2 linked regions of the Drosophila melanogaster genome follow. The protein of the gene in region 1 interacts with the protein of each later gene in a pairwise test. Each region holds a gene or a part of one and is shown on either strand. Other genes may lie near its edges.

Region 1 (5,290 bases):
GTGTCGCAAGTCCTTGCTGGGCAATAATTCAACCAATTCGAATGGGGAAGTGCGCAATCTTAAGTCGGATAAAGTGGCTTTGCATGCAGTAAGTATCGCTCTAAAATATATCATTTTAAAACTGGCTTTACTCTTGGGAAACGTGTAATCCTCAGTGTATTGCGGAGTGCTCCTTCAGGACCAATGGATTCTTGTTGAGCAATGGCACTGTTAATACCCAGGCATTGCAGAAGAGCTATCAGCAACGCTACAAAAACGATCCGAATATGTCGCAACTGATGTTGAAGAGCCTCAATAGTTGCACGGACTACGGTGAGTTAGCATACGAAAGTTTTTTTCTACTTAATAATGGTTAATTCTAAATAGCTAGGAAGCGGGTGCAGGAGTTCCAATGGATGCCCAAGAAGGGCGACTGCGACTTCTATCCTGCCACCTTGCTGGCCTGCGTCATGGAAAAGGTCTACATCAACTGCCCGACCAGCAAATGGAAAAACACCAGCGATTGCACAGCGATGTGGAAATATTTGGTTGCCTGTGATGATGTGGCCAGTAATAAGAAGAAATAGCCATTGCACATATCCAATTATATCCGAATATAGCATCAAAATTAAATTCTTCACTTTTATTCAGCCTCCACTTGGAAGGTCAATTTAGCGAGATCGGCCATTCCACACTGAATTACATCGCCTGCCTTGAACGCATCGGCACCATTGGGCGTTCCGGTAAGGATCAGATCGTTGGCCTCCAGGGTCATGTACTTGGACACGTAGGAAATGATGTCGGGCACCTTGAATATTAAGTCTGCAGTGCACCCGTTTTGCTTAAGGTCTCCATTGACGGTGAGCCAAAGCGGCAAGTTGTGCGGGTCCGTCACTTTTTCGATGGGTATAAACTGGGACACGGGCGTAGAAGTATCAAATCCCTTGCCCAAGGTCCACGGATGACCGGCCGCCCGAGCTGGTCCCTGAAATTGATTATTGATTACAACAATGGCTCTTGATTGAGTGCATCCATCTTCTTACCAAATTGCACTGGGCAGTTAGATCCAAAGCCAGGCAGTATCCTGCCACATAGCTCATGGCATCTGCCTTGGATACGTTCTTGCAGGGCTTTCCAATCACCACGCCTAGTTCCACTTCATATGCCACCTTGGTAAAGACTTTTGGTAACTGGGGGAATACAAAGTTTAAATCACAAGAGGGATTTTCAATTTCCATTCGTTTACTCTCCAGTTTATGGACTTTTGCTATCTTGCTACTATCTTAATGTTATCTTAATTAATTCTCTGTAGAACTCACCACAATGGGCTGACCCTCCTGGAGGTACGAAGATGTGGGCTTGAGGAAGACGAGCGGCTCCTTGGGCACGGGAACGTTCCTGGCCAGCACAACGTCCCTGCGACGGAAGAAAGTATTCGTGGATTACCCATGCAGACCCAAGATTACTATGACACTGAGTTACATGTAATTGAGAGCCACCCCCACAATTTTCTTGCCATTGCTCAAGAAGTTGGCGGCATTTTGGTTTTGGCACGCCATCCTGAGGATTTGAGTTAGTTGCACTGTGAATTTGAAAAAAAATGTGTATTGTAGCTCGATTATGAATGCTCAAGGAAATGATTAGAATGGGAACAGCTCTGCGGTCGAATGAAAGTGAGCATTCGGCGAGCTGGACGGCACTTACTTGCGCAATATTTATTAATTTAAAAGTGGGGGGTTATCTGGAGAGTGGCCCCCCGCAACAAGTTTATCAATTAAATAACAACAGAAAACGGAGAGAGCGATCGAGAAATCAGCTGATATGGATGTGCAGAGTTGTCAGAGCTGGCAAAGTGTGTTGGGTAGCCATACAATGCTTACAATTCATAGCTCTGAAAGGGAAATAACTTAAAAACATTTCATAAATAGTTGTAATTGCAACAACCTGTTCGAAAATTTAGAGCAGAAACGACGAAATTGTGTGCTCTTGCCGTATTTTGCAGCACTGGCCCGTGGCAGTGTGACCGTTCATATATGTGACAGATATCGATAACGATAGTGCACACTCATCTTTGGCTTTGTGGTTTCGCAGTCCGTATTTGGGCGAGATCTGGTAAAAAAAAATAAAATTCTCCGTGTGAAAAGTGAGTGTCCAGTAGTTGGCGTCATCTGAATAAGCAAAAACAAACAACGTGCAAGCCGCCAGGAGCGGTGAGAATAATGACTTGCATACGACATTCGCTCAATTGGTGAGGGACCTCGGCAAGTTGAGTTTGCCTTTGCCATCGCGTTCGCCTCGCCGTTTTCGCGCATCCCGCCTGCGGTCCTACAGAAACCGAGACGAGCAAATTGTAATTTTCCTTCGACCTAAAAATTATATGAAATCGCTGGCGAAAAGCGATTTGCGAGACGTGTTAACGAAAAATCAGCGAAAAACGCTACGTGGTGCGTGAGTGCGAGTGCGACGGAAAACTCTGGCAGTGAGCGAGTGAGAGAGAAGCAAACGACGAGCCAGTAAACTCTACAAACACACAAACAACACAATGATGAAAATGGAGACTGACAAAATAATGGACGAAACCAACTCCAATGCACAGGCCGTGAGTTTTCGCTAAGTTACCTGCTTTAAGCGGGATCTCTGCCCTTCTAAATGCATTAAACACACCGATTTAAGTACATATTGCCCAAGGTGTCGCCTCAATAGACCCACACACATACACACACACAGGGGCACGCACACCTACGCCACCTATGCGTGTTGTCACACACTGGTGTGCGTGTGCTAGTGCTTTATTTTCGTATATACTACAGATTTTGCACTCGTGCACTCTATTAAATTCGGACACTGTGGCACATAGCCATCCCATGGGCTATAACCTTAAACTCTTGTGGATATTAGACATTAGCCTACTTATTCATCGCCAGCATCATCATCATCATCCCCTTTGTTCAATTATCGTTGCATATATATGTATATATCCCCAATCTCCGGTTTTCGAGTCTTAAGATTTCGTTAATTGGCCTCGAGTTTGTGTACACAATTAATAACAAACGCTGTGCACAAAGTACGGCCGTGTACATTTCAATCAGTACTTATTTAATTGTGGAGCTATATACGATAGGCGGCTTACTGAAGGTCAGTTCGCGTAAAACCATCGAGTAATGGGCCAAAAAAATCGTTTTTTATTTTCAATTTTTTCGCTCGGTTTCGCTTGAGTCATCTGGGCTTTAATTTCGCCGGATTCAAGGTGGAATCTGGTTAATGAGACAGATGGCTTCTTGGTAATAGCAGCGAAACACAAACGAGATATTATTAACTATCAATTAGAGGATATATACATTCATATTGCTTATTGCCACAAACCTTTCTCATAGCATAATCAGTGCATAGTTTAAGTAGCATCCTTCAGCTCAAAGTTACCAGGCAAAGGCAAACAACTAAAGCTTACAAAAACCATAATACGGCAATTAAATTAAGGCAACCGACCCGAATACAACTTAGTATGTTTGTACATACATATTCACAACATTTACTACAAATACTGGCAAGGTTTTCGCATTGCTGGCATTGCAGTTAACTTAATTACTCAAATCACTCACACTCGAATCGACCAATTTGTTTACTTCACGCCGATAAAATTGTTTGCCGAGATCTTTAGCGTTTAATTGATGACGTTTGATTTAATTGGGGCCCATCAATGGGTATGTCTATATATAGAATGCGCATAATGAGCATGGAAGACCAAATAAACATCGATACAATTATTATTTATAAACTGGCCGTGTGAATGATCTGTTTCTACCGCTGCGCTGCCAGTCGCGTTTTTCATTCTTCAGAAATCCGCTTTGCAAACTCTTTCGCCGCCGAATAAAAAAAAAATGAGAAAAATTACGAATAGAAAGAAACGCTCAGCGTAGTCGAAGCTAATTGCCTAATTTTAAGCCCCCAGTTTGGGTCGTCGGTAGCCTAAACTAAAGAAAAGTTGCACAACCAGCAGCTACCTACTTTTCCAGTTTTAACGATCGCCCCTTGACATCGAAGCACCCCATAACACATCATCGTCGCCCCACAACAACAACAACAACAACAAAAACGAAACAAATGCAATCTCATAATTAATTTGCTTCTTTATGCCACTTTTCACCCATACAGTTCACAACCACTATGCTGTACGACCCGGTGCGCAAGAAAGACTCATCGCCCACCTACCAAACGGAGCGGGAACTCTGCTTTCAGTACTTCACCCAGTGGAGCGAGTCGGGCCAGGTGGACTTTGTGGAGCACCTGCTGTCGCGCATGTGCCACTATCAACACGGACAGATCAATGCCTATCTCAAGCCGATGCTCCAGCGGGACTTTATCACATTGCTGCCAAGTGAGTGCCTGCCGATACACTGGCTATTGCCACCTGAGTCCAGTCGAAGTGGAGAAATAACTTCCGTTCATACAGATTGATATATTACGTTCACAACAAAGTATTAGGCCAAGACTGTAAACTGTAACATGTTAGCCAACGACTATGAAAATATGAACGTTAAAAATGCAGTTTTAGCTGTGGATTCAATAGTGGTTATTCTACAAGTGAGGAAATGATGAAGTGGTATATCATATATTAATCTGCATTTTTGAAGCTGTTAGATCTATTCCTAAATATTATAAATATTGAACGGATAAATTAGTCATGCTAAGTCATTCCAAGAACGTGATTTATAACCCAGTTGTTATCAACAGCATGCTTTGTATGGGAAGGTCAGTAATCCCAGTTGACCAATAGAGAAACCAATTCACGCAGCCGATAAGAAGGCAATAACAGCTGTTAGGGTGCGAATTCCACCATCGGAGTTTGACCGTTTTCCTCCTAAAATGAAGGCTCAGAAATGGCTCATCCACCATTAGAATCTCAGGCGAGTCTAGCAGCACAAAGCTGAGTTTAAGCCCTCGACACACGCAATTGGCGAAACAATAACAAACTGCAGGTACAAAGTTGAACAACATGAAAGGCAAGCCGCGCTCTGAACCCGGTGCGATTCGTTCCGCGTCCCCCGACAGACACCCTTGCTCCTCCGGATTGTTGCCGGGCATGTTTCCAACTGTTGGAGTGGAGAGGAGCCCAGAGGAGTAGGAGGAGGTGAAGCCAGTGGGTGGGCTTTAGGTTGCTGGTTGTTGGCTGTTGACTAAAAGGTCGTTGCTTCCATTAAACGCGCTTTACCGGAACACAAACAGAACGAAAGCGGGAACGAACCTTGTATATTATTCATAAGAAAATGTGAATCGATTTATTCGTGGCATCGATTGTTGTCGTCCAACAGAT
Region 2 (4,330 bases), on another chromosome or scaffold:
GATGACTTGCAATAATCCTCAATCCGCAAACCATATGTTCCGGCATTTTGCCAATATATTCGCTCCGTTGAAAATGGCCCTAATTTAGTTTTTATTCCTACGGCTTCGCGTTTGAAAGAGAGAGAGAGAGACCGAGAAAGAGGGGGCTTGTAACTGATGTCGTCGACAGCCATCCCTCTCGCTCGCACTTATTCCAAGCCCTTTTAGCCCATGCACACACACGTTTAACAAAAATCAATTAACTTGAAAGCACATGTAAAAAAAAGTATTGATCCACAAAAAACAAAAGGCACTTCGGTAATCCTGGAATACACACACTTACTGCCGAAAATATTTAAAATGAATGGGTACGCGTATATATTTATATGCTGGTGAACAAAAGGCGAGCATAACAAAAATGTCTTATCGATTTGCATGCGCAGCAGACAGTAATTGCAAATCTTGTATTTTCTTGAGTCTGTGCAACAACTGAAATACCTTTCTGGGCATAAACTATCATAAACACAAGTGGGTGGTGCTGGGAAACATCGCTGGAATTGAATATTTGTTTGTTGGTCGATTTGTTCTGAATGGAAACGAATGTCGTTTGCAAATTGCTCTCTCAGCTGTTTACAAACGCATACCACATAACGCAGGTGAGAGAGAGAGGGAGGCATATGCGCAGTGAGAATGGAAGATGAAGGGTTGCCAAGTGCGCAAAGGCTTGCAAATTAAGTACACTTGTGTGCGGGGTAACCGAAAAACGGGTGTTTACAATAAATTTCGCTGGGTGGATGTAGCTTTGTAATTTGAGTTCGCCAATTTTTTTTGTTGTTAACAGCATTTCGAAGCGGTTGCCAACCCTAGACGCTGGCTGGTTGCATGGTAACGAAAAATGGCGGCGCCTGTTACACACACTCACACACACATGCACGCACAGTCTGCTGTGTTTATGCACTTCATGCTGTTCCGATTTTTTTTTTGCACTTTTTCGATTTGTTGTCTGCATTTACCTTAAATGAATTTATTAACTAAGGCGATATTGTGCCTCTCGCTCAATCTCGCAAAACGATGCTTTGTCTGCTGCTTCTCTGTGCGTGTGTCCGTCTCTTTCCACGGCTTTTCGTCGAGACTCACATATACAAACGGCGACACACTGGATTGGAGCTGGACTCCGTTTTGGATGGCTTGGCTTTGGCTGCGTACCCAAAATAAATCGCGCTTGCAGTCCCAAATCATTTTAGTTCTTGACGCCTTTGTTCCACAAAAACTTCCAACCGCCGTCCATGGCTCGTGCTTTCTCTTTCGCTCGCGAGACGCTCCAAAAGTCGCGAGTATGGGAAGAGAATGTATCCCTCGCTCTTTCACGCCTAGAAGCGGCTGTAGCACACACAAGCACACGTAAACCCAGCCGTATGCATATACATATATTCCCTCTACTAGCGAGACGTGTGTACGTGCGTATGTATGTATGCTTTTTTCACTTCTTTCTCCTCTGCGTTCTTTGCACCAAGTGTCGCTGTTGCTATTTGCTACCGCCGCTCCTCTTGACGAATAAGTCGGGACTTGTATCAGCTCTAATTCGGACTTAGTTTACAAAATGCGGCTGCTTTTTTTCCGCGATACTCGGATTAGTGATGTAAAAAGACGTTGATGCTTCGACCACTGAAGTCAGTGCGATATGTATCGATAATTGAATGCCATCGATTGCTACGATTAAAACTGCCACCGCAGTTAGCGGAGACGCTCACCATTCTCTATTCGCCATTTGAAAGTATCGGTGTAATTTGTTTTCAGAGAAATTAATTTCCGTTTACTGTGCAATTCGGTGTGAAAGTGTTCAGATTTATCAATGCGTATTCTGCTTTCGACTTCGCCACCAATCTGTGCTGCAAGTTACCATTACCAGGTCCACCTGGTTCCCGCCAGTTTTCTTTCATTGTGGCTAGTTGTTGTTCGTGCCTTCGATAAAGACGTTTAGAGGTGTTTTTAGAGTTTCGCCATCTGGTCACTATAGCCGTTTCGTTTTTTACGTGAGTATTGTGAATTTGGTGTGTTGATTTATATCTCAGTTGGAGCCTGCGTGGAAATAGTGTCAGTACGTTTAAAGGCATCATCGTAAGGTTAGTCGGAAAACAAATAAAAAGCCTACAAATAGCAAGCAAGAACGCTTTCGCAACCACAAGAAAAACGAACATACGCACGCATCCATCTGTGGTAGAGTCGGCTTGTGTGGGGGTGAGTGGATGTGTGGGTGAGCATTTCTGGAAAGTGCCGTTCTCTATGTTTCGATTCTACTTATCCCTTCATCACCATTTCATCGTTGAATCATCACGAAAGAAACATCGAAAGTGCACAATCGTTTGTTATCTTTGTACGAAAACAACGGTGATTTCCACACAGGCATAACCTGCAAGAGTAATACGATACAAATTTTGATCTGATATGACCTCATTTTAGTCGGTTTGAATTTTAAAGAGAGCGACTCTGCAAACTGCAGGGATATGAACATACAAAATTCACAAATGATTGTTTGCATCCTAGTTGCTTATATTCATTTACACGCATGCTTATATGCTTACATCTGTTATCAATAATTGACGACTTGGTGCATGCGAAGCAAACGCATTGAAATGACTATTGGGATCCACACACTGTTAAAAAACACACTGATTGCACTGCCACACATTTCTCAACTAGAACCTAATGTTTTATACTGAACTTAACTGCAGGAAAGCCCAAAATGCCCAGCATCAAGTTGCAATCTTCGGATGAGGAGATCTTTGACACGGATATCCAGATCGCCAAGTGCTCCGGCACTATCAAGACCATGCTGGAGGACTGCGGCATGGAGGACGATGAGAATGCCATTGTGCCGTTGCCCAATGTGAATTCGACGATTCTTCGCAAGGTGCTTACCTGGGCTCACTACCACAAGGACGACCCCCAGCCAACGGAGGATGATGAGAGCAAGGAGAAGCGCACAGACGACATTATCTCATGGGATGCAGATTTCCTAAAAGTCGACCAGGGCACACTGTTTGAGCTGATATTGGCAGCGAACTATCTGGACATTAAGGGCCTTCTGGAGCTCACCTGCAAGACTGTTGCAAACATGATTAAGGGAAAGACTCCCGAGGAAATACGCAAGACCTTCAACATTAAGAAGGACTTTTCGCCCGCCGAGGAGGAGCAGGTGCGCAAGGAGAACGAGTGGTGCGAGGAGAAGTAAAGCGCGGCATTTCGCGGGACCAACATTAAGTTGAAACAGCTAGGGGATTCGGGAACGAATTGGATTTGCAGCATTGCAACTTTACTTAGTTGCTACTTTCATTTACATTTTTTTTTATTTTTAACCCCAGCAGAGACTCGATTTAAATTGTGTATAAATGATCTGTTGCTGATTTGATTCGCGGGGTTCATTTTTTGTCGTAAATATATCTCATATACATACATATGCGAGATTGTAACACTCTCTTTAACCTATTGGAGTAACACTTGATTTCACTTTAATAAATATAACTACCCAACACAAAGACACAGCCTATTTTGTGGGCTTCCCGGAGGGGTTAGGGTCCAAGGACTTCTCAAATTAAGAAGTGCTCTTTATTCGTTATCTTGTGTTTAGAAACGTTTGCAAGCGTTTGAAATGGATACGCATGCCATTTATGGTCCAGTCGGTAAAATTTTACGTGTTCCCAAGAAGGTACATATATATCTTAGATTATCTTATCTATAGAAACTACATTCATAAGATCACGCTTTCGGCGAATAGCGAGTAATACTGTAGCTGCCACTTTGCCACTTAGTGTGCAATTGAAATGCGCGCCAACGCATGTTCTCATATGCGGAGCGTTTAGCAGCCCTTAAAAAGCTTTTCATGTTGCTTTTAAAAAGCTACGACGGGTGTGGAAATTAGATTTGTGACGCTTTATATATCTTTTTTTTATATCGTCTGGGGTACAGCATGGTTTTAGGATTTTAGAAGAAAGCAGTAATTTTGTAAGAATCGAAGAACGGGGGGATATTTATAATTTTCATATTAACCTTGTCTTTGTTTGCTTTTGAAATTATGAATACTTCGAAAGATAATTATCTTGTGCGCATTCCATTCTGGCTTAGACTGGGTTGAGCTAAAAATGATTTGAAATACAAATTTTTAGGTGTCCGCTGATATATAAACAGTATGATGTTTTTGCACTTTTTTCCCTGAAGTTTTCCTTGTTGTCTCGCTTGCCAATGCTGAACAAAGTAGCCAAAGGACCTTTACTTGAAGCTTTGAGAGCGGAAAATATATTCGGGGACAATTGCTTTAAGTGTGCACTAGGCTTGGCTAGATGCCCGTGCCAAA

Evidence for each region.
Region 2: the proteins of slmb (region 1) and SkpA interact in a two-hybrid assay, tested with the Drosophila melanogaster proteins (3 studies listed by BioGRID).

Annotation. Positions count from the first base shown.
Region 1 is NT_033777.3:21,124,226-21,129,515, reverse strand, and holds the start of slmb (supernumerary limbs), read left to right. Parts: upstream 1-2,030; 5' UTR 2,031-2,521; coding exon 2,522-2,578; intron 2,579-4,131; coding exon 4,132-4,354; intron 4,355-5,290. Other genes in the region: Obp93a (Odorant-binding protein 93a), read left to right, coding at 1-88, 156-312, 367-566; CG5793 (uncharacterized protein), read right to left, coding at 623-964, 1,023-1,169, 1,299-1,395, 1,462-1,538.
Region 2 is NC_004354.4:654,388-658,717, forward strand, and holds SkpA (SKP1-related A), read left to right. Parts: upstream 1-1,726; 5' UTR 1,727-2,397; exon of another isoform or gene 2,398-2,711; 5' UTR 2,712-2,722; coding exon 2,723-3,211; 3' UTR 3,212-3,512; downstream 3,513-4,330.